7 linked regions of the Rattus norvegicus genome follow. The protein of the gene in region 6 interacts with the protein of the main gene of each other region in a pairwise test. Links are inferred from orthologs where the notes say so. Each region holds a gene or a part of one and is shown on either strand. Other genes may lie near its edges. The genes, in order: Nfkbib, Tead4, Golga1, Ppp1r18, Usp2, Vps52 and Ddx6.

Region 1 (4,216 bases), on a different chromosome or scaffold from region 6:
AGTTCCAGGGGCTCCAACAAGCACAAACACAGTCCACATACATGTACACAGGTAAAACAGTCATACGCATAAAGTAAATTATTTGGAAGGTAATGGCAAATGTATCTCTGAGTTCAAGGCCAGTTTGGTCTGCAGAAAGAGTTCTGGGACAGTCTGGGCTACACAGAGAAACCCTATCTCAAAACAAAAACAAAAACAAAAAACAACAACAACAAAAAACAAATAAAATAAAATAAACCAAAGACAAGTTTCATAGTGTGGACAGAATTTCTTAAAGGCAACACCTGTCGATAAAAAAAAGCCTATGGCCAATGAGCTGAGGGAGGAAACAGGTGGGACACTGCCAGGAAGAGAGAGAGAATTCTGGGAAATGGTGAGGAAAAAAGGGAGATGCAGGGAGAGGCACTGGAGGGGTCACTGAGACACTGAGAAAGACGACGCTAAGGAAGAGGCAGGCTGGAGACTGCAGGAAAGGTAACCACGTGGAAGACATAGGATAGTTTGAATGCGTTAAATAGGTTATAAGTTAGCCAGGGAATGAGCCAAAGCTTGTAGCCAAGGCATTTATTAATGAATAATTAGTGCCAGAGTCCTTGTTGGGAGCTAAATGGCTGAATCAATTATTTTTATTATTTTTTACAGTAGTGTTCAAGGCTAGCCTGGGCTACATAGTAAGACACTGACGAAAAAGGGGGTGGAGTGGGTGGCTGGGGAACTATTTTGTAAGTAAAGCACAGTGACCTTAGTTCAGAACCCACATAAAAAAAAGCTGGGTGTGGTTGTAAGTATTTATAATCCTAACACTAGGAGATCCCTGGAGTAGAGCACAGAGGCGCACACCTTTGGTCCCAGCACTCAGGACATAGAGGCAGATGGATCTTTATGAGTTTGAGGCCAGTCTGGTCTACATAGTGAGTTCCAGGTCAGCCACCCTGTCTCAAAGAGGAGGAGGAGGGTGGGGAGCAAGAGACAAGGTTCTCTCAGGCCAGCTAGTCTAGCCTATGTGGTTAGTGCGAACACACACACACACACACACACACACACACACACACACACACACACGCACATCCCTGAGCTGGATGTAGTGATACACACTTGGGAGGTGGACACAGGAGAATGAAAAGTTCAAAGCCATCCTCAGCTACAACCTGAAGGCTAGCATGGGCTACACAAGACTGTCAAAAACAAACAAGCAAAACAAAACAAAACAAAACAAAAAAAAAAAAAAAAAGAGGGGGGTTGGGGATTTAGCTCAGTGGTAGAGCGCTTGCCTAGGAAGCGCAAGGCCCTGGGTTCGGTCCCCAGCTCCGAAAAAAAGAACAAAAAAAAAAAAAAAAAGGATAAAGAAATTACAAAAATTAAATAACCAGAGGGAAACAATAAAGGAACAAGGGCCAATAAAGTAGAAAGTGAAAAATTAGAAAATTAAGGAAACTACTCCTGGCTCTTTAAGATGAGTGTTTATTGGGTTCCCCTCATGGGTCAGGCACTGAGTCACTGGGTATACGCAATGAGCACAAAGGACAAGAAAATCCCGGGTACACTCCCTTACACACACTGTCACCACAGCCATCCCTTCTCCCCAGTTTATCTACTAATCAACATTTCCTGCTCCACACCCCCCCCCCAGGCTCCCTCTCCTCCTTTTCCTTATCCCTCCTTTTTGATACCGGTCTTCCCAGGCTCTCCTCAGACTAGCAATCCTCCTGCCTCAGCCCCTTAAGAGCTGGGATGACAAGTGTGTACCACCACATTCAGCTAAACTAAAACCAGGGATTGAAAGGTGGTAGTTAGGGAGAGACGTTTGGCTAACAGATGAATCCATCTTCATAGAATCGAGCTTCTAAATTTTATGTAGCTCTGGCTGGCCGGCATCTCAATCAGGTGGCCCCAAACTCACAGAGATCAACCTGCCTTTGCCTCCCAACTTCTGTGAGGCCCATGACACCCAGTAGCTCGGTTTCTCAATTGCAGGGTCAGTGCTGGATGTGTCAGCGTCGTAGACTCAGGGTCAAGAATTAATTTTGGAAATCAAAATCTGGCTTATACAAGAATAGCCAAAGACCAAAGACCACATCTGGAAGCAAGAGGTCAGAAGATGTGGGAACTAGAGTGGTCAGAAAGGTTCAGACCCGATTTGGGGATCGTAAGCTCAAATTTAAGAGTTCAGAAAAGTTGAGACACTTGACTGTGAGTGAAAACGGACTAGTCTCACAATTTAGTGATTGGTGGTTATGGGTCAGGAAGTCCAGCATCAGAAATCAGAGTTAGGAACGAGAAGATAAGAAGCCACAGAAATCATAGGCTAATGGAGACTCAGGTAAGATCCCTAGGGTAAATTGGTAATTTAAGGTTTACTCACGTGTCCCCATCCTCAGTGACGTAGCCAAAGACTAAGGGCGCCCAAGACAGCTCTGGGCTAAGCTCTGCGACCAGACCTGGTCCTCCGGGAGCTGCTGCGTCGGGACCTAGAGAGCCCAGGCCACTGTCGCACCATTCATCGGCGTCTGCAGTTTTCCCCAAGCACGCGACCCCGGCCATTGCCCCTGCCACCTCGGGTGGCCCCCTGCGGTCGCCTGCCTGACGCTGGGTTCTGCCGAGAGCTCCAGCGCTTCCGCCCTATTGGGAATTCCCCAACACGCCCCCTCATATACCCAATCAAACTGTGTTAAATAGCCACACCCCGCCTCTGTACTGCACCAGAACCAATCAGAATAATGAGATGGACATTCGCTCGCTGAGTTTCCCCAGATTTTCCAGACGCCCTTTATTAATATGGCCGCCGGCGCCAAGCCTTTTGGGATTTGTAGTTTGATAACGTGAGGGGAGCACCGTATGAAAGCGGTTACGGGACCGCGTTGCCTGTCGGGAGTTGTATTTTTCTATCCTCTCTCGGCTCCTTCTTGTTTCCGCTGCCGTCACGGGACAGAGCAGTCGGTGACAGTCCCGAGAGCCCCCACCCCGTTCCCATGGCCGAGCCGGACCGTGAGTTAGGGGCCCTGGTGGGAGGGTGGGAGGGTCGGGCCGCGCCGGGGCCTGGCTTTGGGCTGCAGGCCCCGGGGCCCGCGGGCAGGTCGGTGGGGTGGGAGACAGAGGCTGCCTGAAGGGAGTGGGATTCGGAGGGCTGTTGCTAAGTGGTCGATATTGCTAGGTTGGTGGGTTTCTGGATTGTGAAATTTAAGGGTCCATTTGCAAAGTTTTGAATGATCGCGTTTCTCGCACTTTGGTTGCTGAGGACCCTCGTTGCTAAGGACCAAAGTTACCACGATCCCGGTTGCTAAGGTTGCCTGTTGTTAAGGGCAACTATAGTATGTTTGGGGACCCCTGCGGCCCCTTTCTATCTCATTCCTTCAGTTCTTGTGCCTCTCCTAAACCTCCCACCTTCACTGCATCTCCTCTCCCACACTCAACTCTCAGCAGAAGTATCCCTACTTAACATCTCTTGAAAAACTTAGCCCTCCCTCATTCTCCTGGCTCGCACTCGCTACCTTATCCTGCTTAACTCTGAAACCTTCCTTCAGTCCCGTTTCACCTGCTTTTTCCTCCCAAACCTTCCCCTCCTCACACATTCCTCCACTCTAAAACATGCCTTTCCCCATCTCCAATAGTTTTACTACCATCCATGACTCCAGGATAATTAGGTTGGTGGGTCCTATTGTCGCCTCCACCACTGTGAACCCTTCATCTGCTTAACTATTTCCCCCCACTGTAACCACGTCTGCTCCCCCTCCTCCCCAGCCTCTGACCCTCTGGAGAACCAGGCAGGGAAGGTGCAGGAGGCTCAGGTGAGATGGGGAAAAGGGTGGAGGGAAGGAGAGAAATGGACGTGGTTCCACATGCCGCACTGGGGGAGGTGCAAGGGAAGGCTTTTACCCAAGGGCCCTTGGCTTATGGCCCTGATCCCTAAACCCATCTGGGGATTAGTACAGCTCCTGGGAGAATGGCGGCTTCTGGGGACTGTCAAGGAAAATGTATAGCCTCAACCCCTGGTTCCCTTCCATATTGTCCTCATCTCCTATTGTTGCCCCGCCTATCCTCAATCCCTTCTGAACCTCATTTGTGCTAGACCTGGAAAAGACAGTGTTCCAGTTTGATCCCCAAACTCAGGGAGTATGGGGTTGGGGAAAGGACCCTCTAGGGCTCATAAAAGTACTGAAGCTGGCTGTGGTGTCAGCTACCTGTAATCCCAGCACAGCTGGGGGCAGTGTTGGGGAAG
Region 2 (3,500 bases), on a different chromosome or scaffold from region 6:
TAGTGGAGGGTGGGGGAGGGGCGGGGTTGGGAGGAAAGGCCACTAGAATAAGAGGAGAAATAAGAGATGGGGGATTAGCCTGAGAGAACAGAAGCCAGGAAGGCTTGAGGTCGAGATATACAGAATGCAAGGGAAAGAACGGAGTAAAGAAGTGGGGGGTGGGGGAAGGTAATGACACACAGGACAGTGAGGGGAGAAGAAAGAACGAGGACTCTATTAAAACCTAAGGGAGAGGGGAAAGAAAGGGAAGGAAGCCAGAGGAGGTAGGGAGGGTGGAAGGTGAGGTCTTCCGTGGGGGGAGAACTTCCAGGGTTGAGAATTCATTTAATAAGGTGTGTATTAGGGGACCTACTATGTGGGCAGGGTCTCCATTGACAGGGGCATATACATAGCAGCAGAGAGACAGAAGCTGCAGGATTCTAGGCCTTTCTTTAAGGACAAGGCCTATGGAATTGGTGACTTATTCTGAGCCTGCAAGACCAGGGCGTCACAATGGTGACAGTACCCCTGGGATTAAGATGGTCTCTCTTGGGAGTTTGACAGTTGGACATGGTGGGGACTTACTGTGTCAGGATCTTGCTGGCGCTCCAGGAAAGCGGAGAACTCCAACATCCAGAGCTTGGAGCTGGCTATGCTGCGGCCTTGCCATGGAGGAGCTGGCGGTGCAGAGGGTGATGGGGTGGGTCCTACAGGAGACTCAAAGCCTACATGAAGGGAGAGTAACACATGGAGCCTGCCCCTCCTTGTTCTCCCTGCTTGTATTATCAGTGGCAGGGCAGAGCCTGTGCTTGATCCAGATCAGTGGACCAGGCCCATGCTCAAGGCTGACAGATTCTCAACAGCCCAGGCTGCCTGAAAGCAGTTAGGGCAGGCAGGATTCTTGCCCTAGGGTGATTTCTAGTCCAGGTAGGAAGACAGCCAGCTGAAGCAAACAGCACAGTAACTCAGAGGCCCTGGAAGCGGGATCCATTTCCTGGAGAGCATTGGTTTCTAAGAAATGAATGCAGATCTAGGCTAGTGTTGATGAAGTGTGCCCCCAGCACCACAGAAGACTTCTCGATGCCCCTGAGGCCAACCAATCAGGAAGATGAGGCTTAAAGAAGGTGTGAGGTAGCAGGGCAGTGGTAGCCCGCACCTTTGATCCCAGCCCTCAGGAGGCAGAGGCAGGCAGATCTCTGTGAGTTCAAAGCCAGCCTGGTCTACAGAGCTGAAAGAGAGACAGTGGGGAGTAGGGGCCAGTGGGGGATGGGAGGGATGAGGGTCGAGATGGGGGAGGGGGGGTGCTCCAAGCTGGGAACCAGCAAAGGCAAATGTGGAGGCCTGGGAGCCAGCTGAGGGAATCTGGAAAGCCACCCTTTAAACAGCTTTTTGGATTGTGGGAAATAAGGCTCTGTAGTGGGGCAGGGTTGCTGGGGAACAGGATGGATTCTATTCCCAAGTCAAGGAAAGCCACTGGCTGAGTTAAACTTTGGCTGAGAAACGGACGGCTTTGCAAATTTTTCCCCCTGGTAATACGAGGAATGGAACCCTGCCTGGAGCAAGCACTTCGAACCAAAAAATTTCCTGAAAAGCAGCTGTGTCTGGCTGGGAACAAAAAACTCCTGGAGGGAGTTTCTGTGTCTTCACAGACGGACAGGCCAACTGGGGCGTCAGAACAGTGGAGAGACGGGAATTTCACGTCTCAGAGGCTAATGACTTTATTCAGGGCTAGTTGTGGTCTTCTTGAACAGCCATTCCTTACCCCGCTCTGTATCTGAACTAACACCACATGATAGTAATTAGAAACCTCTCAGAAGTTATTAACTTAGCAGAGCACTAGTTTCTGCCATTCCGAGAGCTAAGAGTGTCAGCCCAGAGCATTTTAGACCTATAGAATATCTCCCTGAATCTTGTTGTACCTGCATACGCTGGTGGATCCACCAGAGTAGTTCAAGGTTGTCTTGATTCATGACTTTCTTTGTTCAGTAAAAAAAATCTAAAACCCTGTGAACCCGTTTCCACGTTGGAACATGGAATTTGGGGTAACCTAAATCTGTGTTCCCAGGCCATGGTCTCTCATAACGGCTCCAGCATAAACCATCCTTTATTCCATTTAGGATGGGAGCTGTGGTTTTGATGCTGTTAGCACTCCAAGCAAGCCTGCCATTGCTGGGCAGATTTTCATTCCTTCATTGTGACGGAAGGGTGGCACAGAGGGAGACACAGTAGATTCATGACCCACGCTCTCCTTCTGGGAGTCTGATGACCTCTAGCACCCTAGGCAGAAGCAGTGGGCACAGCACAGTGTAAACAAAAGAAGGAAGATCCCACAAGGATACTCAGATACATGTGTCCGAGTACAAGCAGAAATGGGAGTGATGAACACTTCTGTTAGACAGAGGTCCACAGAGCCCTGGCTGGGCAAGCAGTGGGCGCCTAACCTGGGTGGCGACAGGTGAGAGGATCCAAGGCCCAGGAGGAGCAGTCTAGCCACAGCCCAGAGGCAGAGCAGGGAGCACAGTGGACAGGACCAGGGAGCAGAGTAAGCTGAGTCTCAGGAGTCCAGCAGATCTACTGCAGAGCTCAGAGCTCACCGTTAAGGAACGATGGGGCCGGGAAGCATCTTAAGGCCAGAAATAGCATGTCGAGAGATGCTTTGGGAATCACGGGGACCAGTGAAGAGGCGACTGCAGTAATCTGGGCAAGAGTTAGGTGGATCTGAGTGCAGACTGCATCAACATGGACAGAGGAGAGAGAACAGGAAAGAGGACAGGGATATGAGGACTGGACCCAACTCAGAGATGCTCCGTATAGGGGTGAAGGAAGCAGTGAGTGGGCACCACGAGTGCCAGGAAAGCCTGAGGGGCCACAACCAGAGTGGCACAGCTGGTCACCCTTCCAGGAAGGCTGAAAACCGTGGCCTGGACTGCAGTGTGGAAAGGGTGAGGAAACCTCCTGAGAAGGTAAGGGCTGAAGCCTGGGGAAGGGCACAAACCAGCAAGCTGCTTAGGTATCAATGTACACTCCAGGCATCAGCGTCTCCTGTGCTAGGGAAGGGTTAGGCTCAGAATCCAGTGCCCCACAGCTCCCAACTGAGAAGCAGTAGGTAGCATTCCAAGGGGAAAGCCCGAAGAGCTAGCAGCACATGTGCCCTAAGAGAGTGACCTGGGCACACGAGCACCTCCTTCCAGTTCTGTGTCCCAGCCAGCCCTGTGCACAACAGGCAAGCATCTGGCGTCACCCCGGAACACCACGGGACACCCATGAGGCATGGCCGCAGCATGCCAGCTAGAGGCAAGAAACGTGGTAGAGCCAGAAAACTGGGATGCATGATCTGAACACGTGACAGCATGACATCTAGCAGTGATAGGAACAGGACTGGGGTATTGGGGACCTGGGCCCTGAGGCAGGAGGCAGAGGGTGTGACATAGGGAATCTACCTACCTGGCAGAGGCAGCGGAGGCTGGACAGCGTAGGTGTTTTGAGAGAAAGGTTTCACACTGCAGGAGAAAGGAGAAAGA
Region 3 (3,500 bases), on a different chromosome or scaffold from region 6:
ATGTACTCATATATAATAAATGAATAAATCTTTAAAAAAAAAGAAATTTAAGAATATTAAGAAAGCTAAATGTCCTTAAAAAAAAAAAGAAAATGAAATTTACATAAAATTCTCAGACACAATACAGGGCACTCAAGTCCTTTACTCTTCTGTGTCTCCAAGGAACACTGCTGTTACTTCTTGAGAGTGGGCAGCTAGGATCTACTGAGTTGGGTCACATGGCTGATCTTTAGACATTAATTTACTGAACGTCTTGGGCAGTAAGACCAAGAGTATTTGGTAATTGTCTGCACTCTTGCTTGATTTTCTAATATGTATTATGCCCTCTGGTGTGTGACAAAGGAGAGGGGATATTTGACTCCTCATTCACAAAACAAAATTCAAGGGAAATAACACTGGTACAAAAGGTCCAATCATATTAGCTGTAAAACAGTATGTACTATTTTTTGATTTTTTTTTTATATTTCTATACATTCACACACCATAGTTATCTGTTGAATACTAGTAGATGATGCTTTTATATTTATACTTCAAAACAAGCCAAGCATTTATCTACAGGATTATCACTATGAAACACTGACGTTTACCCTAATTTAAAACACTACTAACTATATCAAATATAACATACCCCACAGTTACTGTGATATTATTTTCCCTTTTACATGTTTTGTTTTGTAGTAACTAATTTATGTTTTTGGAGACAGGGTTTCATATAGACTGGGCTAGCCTTGAATACCTGATCCTCCTGTATCAACCCAAGTGTTGAGATTGAAAGCATGCACCACACCTGGCTTATTTTTCCTTTTATTGCCATTCATGTAGCACCTTGCCATTGCTGTTTCTATGGGGATCAAAAGTTCCCTTCTGTCTATACCTGATTTTGGAGAAAGGGTCAGAAGGGCTATGTGAACTGCTGTGAGTAATGACCAGTAATTATATTGGAACAGGTAGGTGCTTGGAGGTGTAGGGTTGAGGACAACTTTTTAGAGGGTGAGATCTTTTTTCTTATTTGTAGGTTCACTAGTAGATTATGGATACACCACTTTCCATTTCTATTTTACAAAGATACATAGAGAGAATAACTCTCTCACATTCTGGACACATTTCGTGATTAAACTGTCAAGTCTGATTTCCTAAGAAAAGGCCAAATGAATCCTTAAAGAACATAAATTCCTTTTCTTCTAGGTCAGAAAGACTTTTATCAGGTCTGTGTCATGATTTTTAAATTGGGTCCCTAAGTGAAATCTTTTCTTAGCCTTGGGCAGTACCACATTTAAATACCTGGTCCTTCCTGGCTAATGCCAAAGCCAGTCCTTCTGCCATTTTGGCTCTGTTGGCTTGGAATGTTTCATTCTGTTCTTGAAATTTCCGCATGGAAGCTGTTAACAAAAGGCTCTATTTGAGATATGGAAATACTTCAGAAACAGCATGATGAACAGCTCATGTGAGCAGTTTACAAATGTCACTAAATGGAACAAGGAAGGTCACAGACATAGATTATGACCCCGTGAAAAACTCAAATTTCTATGACCTTTCTGCCCTGGTAAGGGTCTGGGTCCTTCCTTTTGCTTTCTATAATAGTAAAGATATCAAACAGTAGCTTTTTGAGTGGTATCATGACAAACACTTAAGGTAGGTAGGCAGAAAACACCAAGGCTTCTGTGACGTGACCTCTTCACCAGAATTGAAAAATGAAATAAAAATCAAAGCCAGTAACAACAACAACAAAGTTTTATTTAGTTTTCTTCTGACCTCCTGTAGCACACTTTTCTTGGATGACAATACACAAGGAAAACATGAGTTGGGATAGGTAGGTCAATTTAACAAAATGTATGTCCATTTTATTGTTGATATAGTGATGTCAGAGCTGCTTTATAGTCAATATAACAATATGTTATGAAACTATGTTGAAAATATTCTCCTAGGTTAGACCCAAGGGCCAGGTACTAGATTGTACGAAAACCTAAGGGCAATCAGTAAGTGGGTCAACTAGATAAAGACAAGTACAGACGATCCTCTCTAAAGTAGTATATCTACAAGACAACACAAATGTGTTTACACTTGCTAACTTTCAGTCAAATGTCACATCAATCTTATTAAAAACAGTATAAAATAGAGATATGAGTTCTGATGAATATATATAACAATATATTAATTCATTTAAAATGCTAAAGCCTAAAAAAGATTAAAGAAAGCAGAAAAAAAAAATACGTACAATCCTGGTGTTTTTCTAATGCAATTTCAAGCTTCTCTTTTATCTTCTGCAAGTTTCGGACCTGTTCAGCATAGTCTTGGGTGAGGAGGGTGATGCACATACCAGGAGTGGACAAACATCAGGAAAGGAAGTTAATTAAACAAACAAACAAATAAACAAACAAAAAAAGTGAATGAAAATGATGATGATTTTCTTAACCTGAAAACCAGTCCTGTTAAGAAAAGCTAGGTAGAAAGCCTCCCATTAACAATGAATGACACAGGCAAATGGGAATATTACAAACTTTCCATGGTATAAACAGTGAGTACAAACAGGTAGATTTGTTTAGCTTTGACAGAAAACAACAATTAGGCTAGGCCTGGTCATCAGAAATGCCCTGGTATAAAAAACCCACCATCATCTCCATTCTTCTGTTCTAAGTCTCAGTGTTCCTTTGGTGGTTGGAATAAGAATGGACATAGACACATATATTTGAACATTTTGTCGTCAGGAAGTTGGACTATTTGAAAGGATTATAAGGATTAGGAGGTAGGACCTTATTGGAAGTATATCACAAGGGGTGGGCTTGAGATTTCAAAAGCCAGGTGGAGTGAGTGAGTGAGTGAGTGAGTCAGTCTGTCTGTCTGTCTCCCTCTGCCTATGGATAAGAATGTAACTCTCAGCTACTGCTCCAGCAACTGCCTGCATGCTACCATACTCCCAGCTATGATGATAATGAACTAAATTTCTGGAACTGTAAGGAAGCCCCCAATTAAGTGTTTTCTTTTATAATAGTTGCTTTGGTCATGCTTCTCTACATACCAATAGAACAATGACTTAAGACAGTTCCCATTCCCTGTGGCCCTTAGCAGTATGGCAGATCAAGGGTAATCACGAAAAGCTCACTTGCAACCATACAAGTGAACAGCAGTGGTTAGGTAAATAGCAAACACCTTAGCATAGAACTGCCTTTATGGTGTAGGTGCTTAATCTCTAGATTGGTGTAGGTGTTCCCTTTCTATATAGGAAATGAGTGGTACATAGGTTACCTCAAAGGTGAAAGAATTATCTGGGGTGCCAAAGAAAACAGTATGCTATAATATAAAAGTAGAGAGTAGTTAAAATCTCAACTTTGCCAGTTCGTAGCCAAGAATCTTAAGTAAATTGTGGATCCAGAATATTACTTATTTTAACTGGTATTAATAACATCTATTTCTCTCTCTTTTGGGGACAGGGTTTCTCTGTGTAGCCCTGGCTGTCCTGTAACTTCCTCTGTAGACCAGGTTGACTTCAAACTCAGAGATCC
Region 4 (3,500 bases), about 2.0 Mb from region 6:
CGTCTAAACCTTTCCGTTGTCATCCAATCCTGAGTCAGGAGTGCCCATCTGACTTCATGATTGTTTGTTTTTAAATACCTCTGCCTCACAGCAGTGAAAGATAGAGACCCGAATTCTGCCTTACTTACCTCGTTGCCATGGCAAAGTCTCTTTTTTGGGGTGTGTGTGTGTGTGTGTGTGTGTGTGTGTGTGCTTATTTTTAAAGTCAAGGTCTCTATGTAGATCAGGCTAGCCCCAGACTGGTCACCTGATTCCATCTGAATGTCAGCTTTTACTCTCTTGTATTTCATGTGCATTGCTGTTTTTGCCTGGGTGAGGGTGTCTGAGCCTCTGGAACTGGCGTTGTAGACAGTTGTGAGTCGCCATGTGGGTGCTGAGAATTGAACCCAGGTCCTCTGGAAAGAGCAGCCAGTGCTCTTAACCACTGAGCCATCTCTCCAACTCCTCACCCCTTTCTTTTTTTTTGTTTTGTTTTTTTAAGATTTATTCATTTATTATATATAAGTACACACTGTAGCTGTCTTCAGATACCAGAAGAGGGCATCAGATCTCTTTACAGATGGTTGTGAGCCACCATGTGGTTGCTGGGAATTGAACTCAGGACCTCTGGAAGAGTAATCGGGTGCTCTTAACCGCTGAGCCATCTCTCCAGCCCACCCCTTTCTTTTTTTAGACAGAGTTTGATCTGCATGGAAGGCTAGCCTGGAATTTGGTGTAATCCTCCTGCCTCATCTTCTCTCTCTCTCTCTCTCTCTCTCTCTCTCAAAAATTATTTTTTTTCAAGTTTATTTATTTACTCTATATAAGTACACTGTTGCTGTCTTCAGACACACCAGAAGAGGACATCAGATCCCATTACAGATGGTTGTGAGCCACTATGTGGTTGCTGGGATTTGAACTCAGGACCTCTGGAAGAGCAGTCACTGCTCTTAACCGCTGAGCCATCTCTCCAGCCCTCTTGAACGCTGAAATCGCTGCCTCGAGGCACCACACCTGGGGTGCAGAGAGACACCTGACATAACACACTGTGAAGGTCAAAGGTTCCAGAGAGGCCTGGCTACAATCGCTCTCACAGCCCAGCCAGTGTTTTGCAAGCCTGTGTACGTGTACACTGCAAGTATGCCTGGAGCCTGCAGAGGTCCCGGAACTACAGTTACAGATGGTTGTGAGTGCTGGGAACTGAACACAGGTCCTCTGCAAGAGCAGCGAGTGCTCTTAACCACTGAGTCATCTTCCCAGCCTCTAAGTGTTGTTTTGAATGATGCCATTAGACGGAATAATCAAGATGTAAAGGAAAGCCGAACCCCAAATGGATGGAAGGGAAGGTCTGCGGGGCACCTAAGCCCAGCCCCGCTCCACTTGCCTCTGGTCTCTCAGCCCTCCCTGGATCCCCTAGTGATGAACTTGCCTCCTCTCCCCTCTCTTCCTACTCTCAGCTCAAGATCTCCTTTAGTGAGACAGCACTGGAGACCACATACCAATACCCTTCCGAGAGCTCGGTACTGGAGGATCTAGGCCCGGAGCCTGAGGCCCCCACTGCCCCCTTAGCAACGCAGCCTGACGATGACGAGGAGGAGGAAGAGGAGGAGTTGCTTCTGCAGCCCGGGCTCCAGGGCGGGCTGTGCACCAAGGCCCTAATCGTGGGTAAGCGGCTGCGGCGTGGTTGGCGTAGGGCGCCCCCTGGTGTTCATGGCTTTGTGGTACTTTGAAGGAGCTTGGTCCAATTTGCTACATCTGCTGATTCCTGAAAGCCAGCACACTTGGAGTCTCCAGATTTCAAAACCAGAGCTCGCTCGTTATCCAGATCTCTAATCTGGTTAAAAATACCCGTGTTGGGTCAGGCGGCATGGAGTCAGAATTCCAGCTCGTCTGTTACTTAGTTGTGATCCTGAATCAATCCGAGCTCGGTTTCCGTTTACCTTATGTGTGGCGTGCGCGCCTGCACTCCCAGATCCCAGAGCATGCTAGGCGGGTGCTCTGCCGCCGATCGGTATCCCCAGTTTTCATTTATCATCCTTTAAAATAAAGTTAACAGTTGTGTGCTGGGCCTCCGGGTGTGTAGCTCAGCGATAAGATTGCTGCCTTGAGCTGAGAAAAGTGACTCATGCCTGTAATCCTATCACTAAAGCGGGGGTAGATCCGCCTAGTCTACACAGTGAGTTCCAGGGCACCCTGGACTATTACAGATCGAGACCCCATCTGAAACGAACAAACAAAAAGGTTGTGTACCCCGCCTTAATTGATAATAGCAAGTACTTTTTTTTTTTTTTTTTTTTTTTTTTTTGGTTCTTTTTTTCGGAGCTGGGGACCGAACCCAGGGCCTTGCGCTTCCTAGGCAAGCGCTCTACCACTGAGCTAAATCCCCAACCCCAAGCAAGTACTTCTTGAAGTTGTTTGAAGACTTGAGTAGATTTTTGTAAAGCACCTAGGTATACATAGCTAGGTATTAAATTACTTCACCTTTGCTGAGACGATTGTGAAATTAAACAAGATGCTCAGCACAGAATCCAGTTAACCGTGATGATGACCACTGTTCCACAGCCAACATGTTACAAAGACTTCTCTTATACCAGCCACTCTTCGGTTCTGGGGATGCGTGGGGAGGCGGAGGCCCTCTCCGCTTCTCTGGATTGATTACCTCTTTTCCTGCAGATGAGTCCTGCCGGCGGTGACCATCTTCGAGTTTGGGCATATACCTCTCTCCTTCTCGCACCTGAAGATTCTGGAGCTTGGATGATTCAGAGCCGACAGACATGGCAGTGAGCCCGCCTGGCAGGGAAGGGCGACAAGCGAGCGAATTCGGACTTGCTTTTCCCATCCTGTTCCTGGGGCGGAGCCGGTAGCCTAAATTGACCCCTAACCCAAAGTTCCCGGTGGGCGGAGCATCCTCGGTGAGCTAAGAGTGAGCATCAAGTCCTGGGTTGGAATTCAGAATTTATCTGGAATTGAGATGGAGCACCTCCAGCCTCACAGCCTTCCTTAAAGCTCAGCCACTCTCCGGGGATCCCGCTCCATCCACGAACACCCCCTTTTCTAGGTCACTACCCCTTTGTTTACAGCTTCCCTCTTGATCACAGCCTGGTTTACATACCCACTAGCTCCCAATCCCACCTGCAGAGTCCCAGGTTTACAAGCCATGCCTACCCGCGGAGCCCCTGTGGGATCCTCCACCTTCCCTTTGTTTCATTGTGAGTGACTTGGGAAGGTGTGTAACCTTCTTCAGCTTTGCTCAGTATTACTGTGCCTCGGTTTCCCCCAAGAGGGCAGGCTGGGGATCCTAATCCTGAACCCCATGAAAATTATTTAATTCTGTTCCTCCACGTGGTTCACATTGAATTGAATTGCAGTGTGGGGGGCGCTCAGGAGGCGCCTCGCTTCTCCCCATTGCTCCTTGGTCAGCTGCCTGGTTTGTTTCGTTTTTTGTAACTTTCCGTAATAAAATGGAGCTCTTTTCAACTCTCTTGCTGTCTTCCTTTTCTTTGTTTCTTCTTCTTTTTTTT
Region 5 (3,500 bases), on a different chromosome or scaffold from region 6:
GTCCTCTGAGGAAGGGTTTTATTATTTTTAACATGTGTCTGTGCTGTGTGTGTCTGGTGGCCAATGGCAGTGAACCCCTGTTCTCTGCAACAGCAGTGGGAGCTCGTAACTGCTGAGCCATCTGCTCAGTGCCAAACCCTTTTTGGAAACGGGGTCTCCCATAATCAACGCTGACTTCCAACTTTCTAAGTAGCTGAGGATGACCTTGAAATCCTGACCTCCTCAGTATCTGGTTACAGTCATGTGCCATCATACCTATTTCTGACAGTCTGGGAAAGGGCAGCACACACACGTGTATGGTGGAGCTCTTGGCCCCGGCTTTTCCGTCCATTCAAGATGGAAGCCCTGTGAGGTGGGCTGTCCAGGAGCCCTGCCAGAATCCCATCTCACCTGGAGTCATTGAAAGTGTGCCATTCGCCCGTAACCGGACTTCGGCAGTAGGCTGTATAGTGACCTCCCATGGTGGTTCCGGAGTGATTGGACACAGCATACAGGTTGTAAACAGCATGGTCTGAGGCGGTAACACAGGTGTTAGGCATTCCTGCCCCAACATCCCTTCCCTTCCGCCCTTTTATTTCCCAATCTTTCCCCTGCCTTAAAACCATAGCTTCTACTAAGAGAGAAAAAAATTGGTTTATTTCCTCAGAGCGTATGTGTGTGTGTAGTGTGTAGGTCACAGGGACACCTTGACAGAGTCAATTCTCTCTCTGTGTGGGTTTTGGATCCATCTCAGGCCATCAGTACTTTACCTGCTCACATCCTCAATCTCTTGACCTTTTCCTAACTCTCTTGCTTCCTGCCCCTTTTCCTCCCGCCTTCCTTCTTCCGTCCTGCCCAAGTATACTCACTGGTGTTTTCTGAAGCAAATTCTCTCAAGTCCAGGTCTCTTAGTGGGAAATTCACAAATGTTGTGAGCTTGCTGGTTCGTATCCTGGATTCTGAGAACCGCTTCAGGTCTGTGATTGCTCTGAGTCAAGGACAGGAAGCATGAAGAGACTCCTTGGAGAAGCAGCTCTTCTCAGGAAGCAGGATCGCAAACAAAGAAGTCTATCGAGTTTTTTTTTTCCTTATGCTGCTTCCCTCCCCTTTTGGTCCCTTGTCATCAGTCACCCCAAAAAGTCAGCTCCCCACCCTGGGGGTTAAGGATACGGAGCACCAAGATCTTTGGGAACCTCTGGACAGAGAACTTCTTTATACATCGTTTTCTGGCCCGGCAGCGGCAGCATGTCTGAAAGACAAGACAAACAAGGATAGAAAGAGCTTAAAGCCTGAGGCGGTGAGACTTGTGGCCCTTCCCCACAAGGGGTACTTCTGTCACTGTGGAGTGACTTACTGGTTTCTCATCCCCATCCAACACATCCTCTTTGGTGAAGAGCCTCATACAATCCATTAACGTCACTTCAGGATAGCCTCTCTGCAAGGAAAAGATCCAGGTTAGTGGTCACAGCCTCACTCAGCCTGGAGAGAGGCTGGCGCAGGGCTACAGCTGAGCGTACCTTTGCAATGGGCAACGAGAGGTCCCAGAAGGGATCGAACACTGTAGAGCAGTAGCCGCAGTCGGTGCACGTCAGGGAGCTCTTTAGCTGCCCAACGAAGAGATCTGGGGAGAGGAAGCCAGGGCATGCTGAACATGTGAATGCCTGTCTTTCCCCACCCACTCTGGCCTTAGGTTTGAGAGCCACTGGCAGAAGCAGGGTCCCCTGGGATAAATGATCCCCACAGCTTCTCAAGCAAAAGCGGGTGAAGAAGCAGATGTTTTCTGTTCAGTATACTTACCCCCAATCCGACTGTCTTCCCTTTCTAGATACTTCCTCCACATCTGTCGCCCTTTCTCTTCATCACTGGGAACCACAGACAGGAAGACAGCTAGGTCAGAACTCAAGCCCTGGGAGGCTTACGGGGCTACCATCTAGCATCTTCGTATATTTACATGTATGACTTCTGTGGTGCTGGGCATGGAATCCCTGGCCTTGCTCCTGTTCACACAACCCTCCCAAGCTGCAAATCCTGAGTCGAGGTTCACCTGAGCCAGGATTAACCCAGGCTGCTCTCAAGTTCATCATCCTTCCTACCTCAGGCTATCTATCTATCTATCTATCTATCTATCTATCTATCTATCTATCTATCTATCTATCTATCTATCTATCTATCTATCCAACACATGTACAATGCCCAAATAAAAAGTCTGGGCTTAAAAACAAAGCAGGGGGTTGGGGATTTAGCTCAGTGGTAGAGCGCTTGCCTAGCAAGCACAAGGCCCTGGGTTTGGTCTTCAGCTCCGGAAAAAAAAAACAAAAAAACAAAAACCAACAACAAAGCAAATCTGATTCTCCCCAAATCAGTACTTGAAGAGAAGTAGGTACAAATGCCAAGTTCACAGAGACGTCATAGCGGCAGCGCCTCTCTTACTTACGGGAGATGATCAAGGCTCTCAGGGCTGGGCTTAGGCCTTGCTGCCACCCGGTTCACCTCGTTGTGGAGGCCATCCAGAAGGAAACGGAGGAATTCCTGAGCATCCTGCTGACTGAACCCAAACAGAGTGAATGAGTGGGTGAGCAGCACCCACCGGACCCCGCTTGTGCTACCACACACCTTGGGAGGACATGCATGTCAGGCCCTTACTTATAGCCAACGAAGCGTGGTGCATATCTCTGGATCTGGGTCTTGAACTCAGATGGGCTCACCACATCATTGGGGGATGACGTCCATATGGTCTGGATTAGTTTTGCAAACTCTGTTGGAAGGAGCCATTAAAGAGGGTGGAGAACAGGTGAGAGAGGTCCTCTGTGTGGCACTGGCTGTCCTGTACTAGTTCTGTAGACCGTGTTGGCCTGGAATTCAGAGATCTGCCTGCCTCTGCTTTCCGAGTCCTGGGGTTAAAGTTGTGCATCACAACTACCCAGCTGAGATGTTTTCTTTTTTTAAAAAGTTATTTTAAATTGTGTTTGTGTGCATGTGCATGTGTAGGTGTATGTATATGCTTATGAGTGCCCAAAGGGGCCACAGGCGGGAGCTGGCTCTGGAAACCAAACTCTGGTCCTCTGTGAGCACACAGGCACTTTGGCAGTACATGCCTGTGATCTAGTTAAGGTAGGAACATCAGGCCAGCTTTGGCTACATGAGACTGTGTCTCAAAACCAACAAAACAGGTTGGGGATTTAGCTCAGTGGTAGAGCGCTTGCCTAGCAACCGCAAGGCCCTGGGTTCAGTCCCCAGCTCCAAAAAAAAAAAAAAAAAAAGTTAAAAAAAACCCCAACAAAACAGAAAAACAAAACCAAGACAACCAACTGAACCAAGCATCCCAAAGATCACCAACCAATGAACAAGTAAGAGGGAACACGGAAACGAGTCAGACATGATGTTGTACACCTTGATCCCAACGCCTGGGAGGCCAAAGCAGGAGAACCGCAGCTGTGGCTCCAACCATGCTTACACAGGAAGGCTGTGCTTCAACCACAGATTCTGACACTTGAGCCCCAACCAATAGGCAAAGAAAGAGA
Region 6 (3,500 bases):
CTGCAACTGTCCCATCTGCAGCTGTCCCCACCTCCAGCTGTCCCATCTGCAGCTGTCCCACCTGTAGCTGTCCCAGCAGCTGCAGCGTGCGCTCATTGGGGATGGTCTGGTTGATGCTGACAAGCGCGGAGGAGAACTCGGCGTAGCGGCGTGTGATCTCGGAGCAAGAAAGGGAGGCTCACACCTGCCTGCCTGTCACATATAACCCCAGCTGCCTCTGCAGCTCCTGCCCCAGTCAGGACAGGAGTTGTCTGCCCAAGCTGACCCAGCCTACCAGTTAGTATGACTGCCCGCCCCTCGTTCCCTCGCCTGCCCTTACATAGTGGGGCCGGGTGTCCAGCCCCCCGAGGCGCTGGGGGTCAGTGCTGCGGACGCTCTGCACATTCATCTCCAGGATGAGCTCAAATCGAGGCCACAGCAGGGCCAGCACCTGCTCCCAGTATCTGCAGGCTTAATCAGAGTCAAAGGTCAGCTGGCTAGGGGTGCTGGCTGCCCATGGGTGAGCGAGTGGGTGTGCCCGACACCAATGCTGCCCCTGGGACACACGGATGGGAGGGAATAAGGGTGAGGAAGAGTCAGGGTGGAGTTGTGTTAGATAAAAAGCTGACCGCTGGGGTTGGGGATTTAGCTCAGTGGTAGAGCGCTTGCCTAGGAAGCACAAGGCCCTGGGTTCGGTCCCCAGCTCCGAAAAAAAGAACCAAAAAAAAAAAAAAAAGCTGACCGCCTCCATGCACCAAGGACGGGAGCTCAGTGACCTGTCCAGGGCAGGGACGTCCCTCTTTGCTGCTATGTTGCGGAACCGGAGAACGATGTGGATACAGAGAAAAACAGCAATGGCGTCGTAGCAGTCGGCCAGGTAGGACTCCAGGTGTTTCTGTGGCACAGCAACAGGCAGACAACTGAACGTTAGCTGTTGTTCGAGTGGCTGTAGGCAAACACGTACAATTCTTTGGGGACAAGGCACTTGTGACCCCACTGGCTGCTGCTGAGCTCTGAGGACAGAGGGCAAAGGCACAGAAGTCAGAAGCTCACCAGCGTCATGGACAGCGTGCGGCCCATGACGGCGTGGAACAGGTCATGGGCAGCCGGGCCAGAGACGACGAAAAATTCACAGATGAAGAGATATTCACGGCAAGAATTGTCAAGGAGGGCATAGTGCTGGCTGCGGAAGAGTGCTTCAAACGGGTACTACCGAGACAGAGAGACACACGGATGGGCTTCAAACGGGTACTACCAAGACAGAGACACACATGGACGGGCTTCAAATGGATACTACCGAGACAGAGAGACACACGGACGGGCTTCAAACGGATACTACAGGTCAGAGAGACACATGGATGGGTCTCACACCGACCCCGTGGGTATGGAGACTCAGCACAGCTTAGGAATGCGAGCTCACAAGACCACATACCCAACTTCCAGGCAGGGAGGAGCACCCCATACAGGCACTGAAGAGGGGACACAGGTCACAAGAAAAGCCCTCCCCAGGGGCTGCTGCTGCCCCTACACCCACTGCAACTGTTGCCCCCTAACAGTCACACCCACAGCCAGTCTCCCTCTGCAAGGCTCTCCATGGCTCCTAACCCTCCCGCATCACAGCGGGTCAGGGACCCCCAAACTAACACGTAGGTAGGGAACTGATCCCAGGCCATGTAGGGATCGCCTCGCCATACCCTCTGCTCTCCACGCTGGGCAGTATGGGGCACCAGGATGGGGGCCTCGAGCTCGGCCGGTGAGATGACAGCACCACGGGTGCCCAGGGTAAAGATGGTGTTCCTGCTTCGCAGGGACGGCTTCGAGAAGAATCGTGAGCCACATCCGCGTCAGGGAAAAAAACGAGATGGACAGCACTAGGCCCAACAAGCCAAGGCCTGAGGATCCCAAGAAGCTAAATAAGGCCTGGAAGGCCTTTTCCAGAACCAGAGCCTTGCTTCTCCTGACACTGATAATGGCTGTCGAGGCTTCCCAAACCCTCTGAAATAAATGTGAAAAACTGTCAGAATGGCATGTGCTTCTTAGAGAGGAAGCTCTGGCTTTCACATCCTCAAAGGTGTGAACACAGAACAGGTAAAAAAAACACAGCCCTGGACTGTTAAGAGCACTGACTGCTCTTCCAGAGGTCCTGAGTTCAATTCCCAGCAACCACATGGTGGCTCACAACCATCTGTAATGGGATCCAATGCCCTCTTCTGGTGCGTCTGAAGACAGCTACAGTGTACTTATAAAAAAAAAAAAAAAAAGAAAGAAAGAAAAAGAAAAAGAAAAAGAAATGGAAGGAAGGAAAAGAAGATAGCTCTGCATGCTGGAGCTGGACGTCCCCGCCGTGAGCCCGGTGTGAGGCTCCCCTCTAAAGGATATCTTTCTTTGCTGTGTCTTCTACACCCATTAGATCGTCTTTCTCAGCAACTTCCTCGTACTAGAGAAAACAACAGAGAGCTGAGCCATCACTCTCCACATCCCCCCCAGCCCCCCCAGCCTCCCCCCTCCCCCCGTCTCTGGCCTGGCCCACCTGCACTTTCATGAGCCGCCCCACGTACGAGCGGTAGTATGACAGGTAGATCTTGCTCAGCGTCTCTACGTACTCATCCCTGACCTCCTTGGCTGTAGCACGCTCGTTGCCCAGCAGAAACTGATAGAAAAACCTGGAAGGACCGGGGTGAGTCAGACACCCTGGATGCCCACGCTGGAGGCTGAGAGGCTCGCTCATGGTCACCCTGTGCCCATCCCGGGGGGGCCACCTGTACTTCAGCAGGGCCGTCTGGGGGATCTGATAGTTGGTCATCGGCTTTCGGAACGAGTAAATCTTCTGGAGAATGAACTCACGGATCTTTGTCACCGCCTGGATGTGGGGTACAGACAGGCCGTGAGGTGGGAAGTGAGAGAGGGGACACAGGAGAAAATAAAGGTAAGGGAAGAATACTTCATTAGTGCTCTGGTTATGGAAACAGGGTCTCTCTGAGCAGCCCTTGCTGGCCGGGGACTCACAGAGGTCTGCCTGCCTCTGCCTCCTGAATGCTGGGGGTGAGTGCATCGCCATGCTGGCCTTATTTTTTCAGGGCTTTTTGTTTTGTTTAAATATGGAAGGCTTTATAAATTTCATGTTATCCCACAGGGGCCATGCTAATCTTCTCTGTGTTGTTCTAATTTTAGTACCCGCACTGCCAGTGCAAGCACTGCTTGTTCTGAGATGGCGTCTCACTCATGTATCTGGGGCCTGGCCCCAGACTCCGTTTCTTCTTCACCTCCTGAGTGCTAGGACGACAGACTCGTGCCATCCTGCCAACGCAGGAGGCACTGGGGATGGAACCTAGGGTTGTGTGCTTTACCAATGGAGCCACACTGCAAGCCTCCTTTGATTTTCAGGGGAGGACTGACACTGACACTACATAGCGGGAAGCAATGTGGAGCTCTTGGGAAGCTGACTGTAAGCAGCCGCTCCCCACCTTGACCCGGAGCCGGTCGAGCACGCCTCTGACGTCTGCACAGGCGGCCGTGCCTCT
Region 7 (3,500 bases), on a different chromosome or scaffold from region 6:
ATTTACTATGTGGCCATTTTCTATTTCTAACAAAAATGTCTTTGTTTGAGGACTGTTTAACCCTTTGAGATTCTTTTCTCTAGTACATGCACTTTTATTTATTTGAGGCAGGGTCTTTTCTCTAGTAGTCCTGGCTACCAAGACCAGGCTGGCCTTGAACTCTAATTTACCTGGTTAAAGATGTGTATCACCACACCAACACCCAGCTCACTAACTTTTCTGTTACGCTGCTATTCAGCTAATGTTTTTCTGTTAACAGTTTTAACAAACTTTTAGTTCAAAATGGTATTAATGCTTACTGGTCCTGCTAATCCACTTGGGTCTTTGCCATTCATGCAAGATACATACATACTACACTTCAAAGGAGTACCAAGGTGGGTGGTATTCTTCGGTGTAACTTGGAAAAGAATCTGGTAACATTGTATTTACATGTAGTTTTGCATCACCTTGTCTTTTAGGAGGAGAGCATTCCCATTGCTTTATCTGGTAGGGATATCTTAGCTAGAGCAAAAAATGGAACAGGCAAAAGCGGTGCCTACCTCATCCCCTTACTTGAACGGCTGGACCTGAAGAAGGACAATATTCAAGGTTAGCTGAATAGAGGGGAGGGGCTGCAGGGAAGACTGTCTGTACTTGGAGCTTTGTAGGTTTTAATCTTGGTCAGAATTCATTTAATCTACTGTCTTCTTGCTATATTTGGCTTAATTGTTTAAAAAATTTTTCCCCAGCTTTTAAAGGGAATTTCTCAACTTCAGAGTACTTTTTTTTTATGATTGATAAAACAGTTGAAAAAGGGTTCGTGTGAGATAAGCAAAGTAAGCTTTCTTTAAAGCCAAACTGATGAGAGGCTAAATGAGTCACTGCTTACCTCCAGCCTATGCACCTGAATTCCCTTGTGGGAACTGTGTAAGCAGAGCTCTTTGTAGAAACAGTAAATGCTTCTGTCTGTAAACCCTTGAGTTTATCAAATTTTAAGAGCTCAGAGTTCCTCCTCTGTGTAGTAAATGTCTTGGTCAGCCGAGCCTACCAGGAGAACTCCAGAGGCAGAGTAAATCAGGACTATGGGGAAGCGGCCTGTCACTGGCAAGGGCCTGGCCCCCATGTAAGCCACAGCTAGAGTTGGGGGAAAAATTAACAGCTTAGAGAGTAGAAAAGAAGCAAAGTTCTATAGTTGTATCTGGAGTCAGTTCATACAATTAAGGTTTTGCCTCTAAAGTTTTTCTTAAATTTTCCAGTTTTCCATTTATAAATCTCTCTCCTCTCATTGATGAGCATAGAACCTAAGCAGCACGCGTTGACTGCTTAGTATTTAGTGACTCTGAGAGAGTAGTGACCCTTCTGTCAAGCACATGCATCCTTTAAGACTGGTGTGTTATGTCTGTTATGCCCGTGTGTTAGGTGAACTGCCTCAGTGAAACTGTTTTTATAGCTTCTTGAACTTCTAAAAGATAGCATGTTCTCTCTTCCCTCACTCCTTTGTTCTTTGATATTTTTTAGCAATGGTGATTGTTCCCACTAGAGAACTTGCTCTACAGGTCAGTCAAATTTGCATCCAGGTCAGCAAACACATGGGAGGGGCCAAAGTGATGGCGACCACTGGAGGAACCAATTTACGGGATGACATAATGAGGCTTGACGATACAGGTAGGAGATTATTAAGGCCACAAGGCTGTCTGATTGTAGCTACAGATGCCTCCTTATTTCTTTTTCAGACTTATTTGTAATTATGTAGAGGTGGGGTATGTGGTTATGCACACCTGTGTGCAAGTGCCTGGGTGAGGGTGTGGATCCCCTGAGGCTAGAGTTATAGGCAGCTGTGCACCACAACGTAGGTGCTGGGGATTGAACTTGAATTCTCTGCAGGAGCAGCACGAGATGAGCTCTTTTTTTTTTTTTTTTTCCGGAGCTGGGGACCTAACCCAGGGCCTTGCGCTTCCTAGGTAAGCGCTCTACCACTGAGCTAAATCCCCAGCCCCTACGAGATGAGCTCTTAACCATTAAGTCTTTTCTCCAGTCTCCAAGGGTTCCCTTTTAGGAAATAATTAAAACTTTGGTCTGTTTTGTTTGTTTTGTTTTTTGAGACTGGGTTTCTCTGAGTAGCCCTGGCTGTCTTAGAATTTGCTTTGTGAACCAGGCTGGCTTTGGGAACCTGCCTCTGCCTCCCAAGTGCTGGGATAAAAAGCATGTGCTACCACTGTCTGGCACTAAAATATGGTTTTGTTTTGTTTTTTGTTTTTAAAGATGTATTTATTTATTATATATAAATACACTGTAGCTGTCTTCAGACACACCAGAAGAGGGCATCCAATCTCATTACAGATGGTTATGAGCCACCATGTGGTTGCTGGGGATTGAACTCAGGACCTCTGGAAGAACAGTCAGTGCCCTTAACCACTGAGCCATCTCTCCAGCCCCTGAGCTCTATTTTTTAACTTGCACAATTTTGTTTTTAGTGATCAGTCTTTTTTTCCCCCTTAAAACAGTCTGTGGGGTTGGGGATTTAGCTCAGTGGTAGAGCGCTTGCTAGGCCTGGGTTGGGTCCCCAGCTCTGAAAAAAAAGAAAAAAACCAGTCTGAGCAGCCTGGCCCAGATTGAACACACGTCTCCCCTGCGTTCTGGCTGTTACTTCTTGCAGATGGCTGTAAGATGGGAGTTGTGAGTCCCTCAGTTGGAGTTTGTGGTTTGGGAAGCTGGCCCACTCACTGAAGAGACGAGACAAGTATTGTGGAGCTCTTGTGAGAAGAGACAGAAATACACGGCCCACAGTTCATCTTTGTGCCTTTTTGTATTAATTTGGGTCTCTATAAACAGTATTTATGATACTAAATACGTCTTATAAAATTAATGTGTTTCTTTATCCTAGATTAAATTAACAAGAATGTATATGTTTTCTGAAGTTTTTTTTTCTCTGGGAATCTTTTTAGTGCATGTGGTGATTGCTACCCCTGGCAGAATCCTGGATCTTATCAAGAAAGGAGTAGCAAAGGTTGATCATGTCCAGATGATAGTATTGGATGAGGTAATGTTTGTTCATTTGAAAGGACTCTTCAGTACTCCTCTAGCTTTGCTTATAATTTTCACTGAATAAAGCAAACCTTGAACTGGATATGTATGATAACAAATAACCAAGCCAAGCTCAGTTTAAATCTTTCTACTTAGTGTTACATTTTAAAAGCTTGTAAGGGATCTCTCTTAACCCTTTGTTTTGCATTTGCTTCCTAATATTGGTTGGTTCTTTGTGTTTTTTATGAAATTTGTTACTTCTTTAGTTTATAACCTAGTATCAATGCCTTTTAAAAAATTACTGATCTGAAGCCAAATGTTTTACCTGGGATGTAGAGTCAGATGTCTGTCTTGAGTTTGAGAGCTGCAAGTTTCAGGCCAATCAGAACTACACAGTGAGACTCTGCCTTAAAAATGAACAAAAACTACTCATGTGTGTCTGGGATGTAGCAGTGCTGTGTACAGTTAGCCTGGCAGCATTGGTGCTTCGGTGTGCG

The links.
Region 1: the proteins of Vps52 (region 6) and Nfkbib interact in binary tests that used the Homo sapiens proteins (3 or more experiments, as listed by UniProt). The two-hybrid records come from large-scale screens. The link is inferred for Rattus norvegicus from reciprocal best matches to the Homo sapiens genes VPS52 and NFKBIB.
Region 2: the proteins of Vps52 (region 6) and Tead4 interact in binary tests that used the Homo sapiens proteins (3 or more experiments, as listed by UniProt). The two-hybrid records come from large-scale screens. The link is inferred for Rattus norvegicus from reciprocal best matches to the Homo sapiens genes VPS52 and TEAD4.
Region 3: the proteins of Vps52 (region 6) and Golga1 interact in binary tests that used the Homo sapiens proteins (3 or more experiments, as listed by UniProt). The two-hybrid records come from large-scale screens. The link is inferred for Rattus norvegicus from reciprocal best matches to the Homo sapiens genes VPS52 and GOLGA1.
Region 4: the proteins of Vps52 (region 6) and Ppp1r18 interact in binary tests that used the Homo sapiens proteins (3 or more experiments, as listed by UniProt). The two-hybrid records come from large-scale screens. The link is inferred for Rattus norvegicus from reciprocal best matches to the Homo sapiens genes VPS52 and PPP1R18.
Region 5: the proteins of Vps52 (region 6) and Usp2 interact in binary tests that used the Homo sapiens proteins (3 or more experiments, as listed by UniProt). The two-hybrid records come from large-scale screens. The link is inferred for Rattus norvegicus from reciprocal best matches to the Homo sapiens genes VPS52 and USP2.
Region 7: the proteins of Vps52 (region 6) and Ddx6 interact in binary tests that used the Homo sapiens proteins (3 or more experiments, as listed by UniProt). The two-hybrid records come from large-scale screens. The link is inferred for Rattus norvegicus from reciprocal best matches to the Homo sapiens genes VPS52 and DDX6.

What each region holds. Positions count from the first base shown.
Region 1 is NC_086019.1:93,178,588-93,182,803, forward strand, and holds the start of Nfkbib (NF-kappa-B inhibitor beta), read right to left. Parts: upstream 2,801-4,216; 5' UTR 2,542-2,800; coding exon 2,363-2,541; intron 1-2,362. Other genes in the region: Sirt2 (NAD-dependent protein deacetylase sirtuin-2), read left to right, coding at 2,970-2,985, 3,739-3,785. UniProt on the Homo sapiens protein: Inhibits NF-kappa-B by complexing with and trapping it in the cytoplasm.
Region 2 is NC_086022.1:163,199,343-163,202,842, forward strand, and holds part of Tead4 (TEA domain transcription factor 4), read right to left. Parts: intron 3,480-3,500; coding exon 3,424-3,479; intron 705-3,423; coding exon 565-704; intron 1-564. UniProt on the Homo sapiens protein: Transcription factor which plays a key role in the Hippo signaling pathway, a pathway involved in organ size control and tumor suppression by restricting proliferation and promoting apoptosis.
Region 3 is NC_086021.1:43,208,820-43,212,319, forward strand, and holds part of Golga1 (golgin subfamily A member 1), read right to left. Parts: intron 2,291-3,500; coding exon 2,216-2,290; intron 1,380-2,215; coding exon 1,282-1,379; intron 1-1,281. UniProt on the Homo sapiens protein: Involved in vesicular trafficking at the Golgi apparatus level. Involved in endosome-to-Golgi trafficking. Mechanistically, captures transport vesicles arriving from endosomes via the protein TBC1D23.
Region 4 is NC_086038.1:2,882,330-2,885,829, reverse strand, and holds the end of Ppp1r18 (phostensin), read left to right. Parts: intron 1-1,436; coding exon 1,437-1,644; intron 1,645-2,652; coding exon 2,653-2,672; 3' UTR 2,673-3,460; downstream 3,461-3,500.
Region 5 is NC_086026.1:53,331,370-53,334,869, reverse strand, and holds part of Usp2 (ubiquitin carboxyl-terminal hydrolase 2), read right to left. Parts: intron 2,735-3,500; coding exon 2,623-2,734; intron 2,525-2,622; coding exon 2,414-2,524; intron 1,842-2,413; coding exon 1,777-1,841; intron 1,601-1,776; coding exon 1,497-1,600; intron 1,415-1,496; coding exon 1,334-1,414; intron 1,229-1,333; coding exon 1,150-1,228; intron 957-1,149; coding exon 849-956; intron 512-848; coding exon 391-511; intron 1-390. UniProt on the Homo sapiens protein: Hydrolase that deubiquitinates polyubiquitinated target proteins such as MDM2, MDM4 and CCND1. Isoform 1 and isoform 4 possess both ubiquitin-specific peptidase and isopeptidase activities.
Region 6 is NC_086038.1:4,926,959-4,930,458, forward strand, and holds part of Vps52 (vacuolar protein sorting-associated protein 52 homolog), read right to left. Parts: coding exon 3,444-3,500; intron 3,169-3,443; exon of another isoform or gene 3,072-3,168; intron 2,840-3,071; coding exon 2,739-2,839; intron 2,643-2,738; coding exon 2,510-2,642; intron 2,417-2,509; coding exon 2,359-2,416; intron 1,808-2,358; coding exon 1,674-1,807; intron 1,231-1,673; coding exon of another isoform or gene 1,189-1,230; coding exon 1,033-1,188; intron 926-1,032; coding exon of another isoform or gene 875-925; coding exon 756-874; exon of another isoform or gene 722-755; intron 451-721; exon of another isoform or gene 444-450; coding exon 320-443; intron 158-319; coding exon 62-157; intron 1-61. UniProt on the Homo sapiens protein: Acts as a component of the GARP complex that is involved in retrograde transport from early and late endosomes to the trans-Golgi network (TGN).
Region 7 is NC_086026.1:53,845,749-53,849,248, forward strand, and holds part of Ddx6 (probable ATP-dependent RNA helicase DDX6), read left to right. Parts: intron 1-458; coding exon 459-588; intron 589-1,497; coding exon 1,498-1,644; intron 1,645-2,924; coding exon 2,925-3,019; intron 3,020-3,500.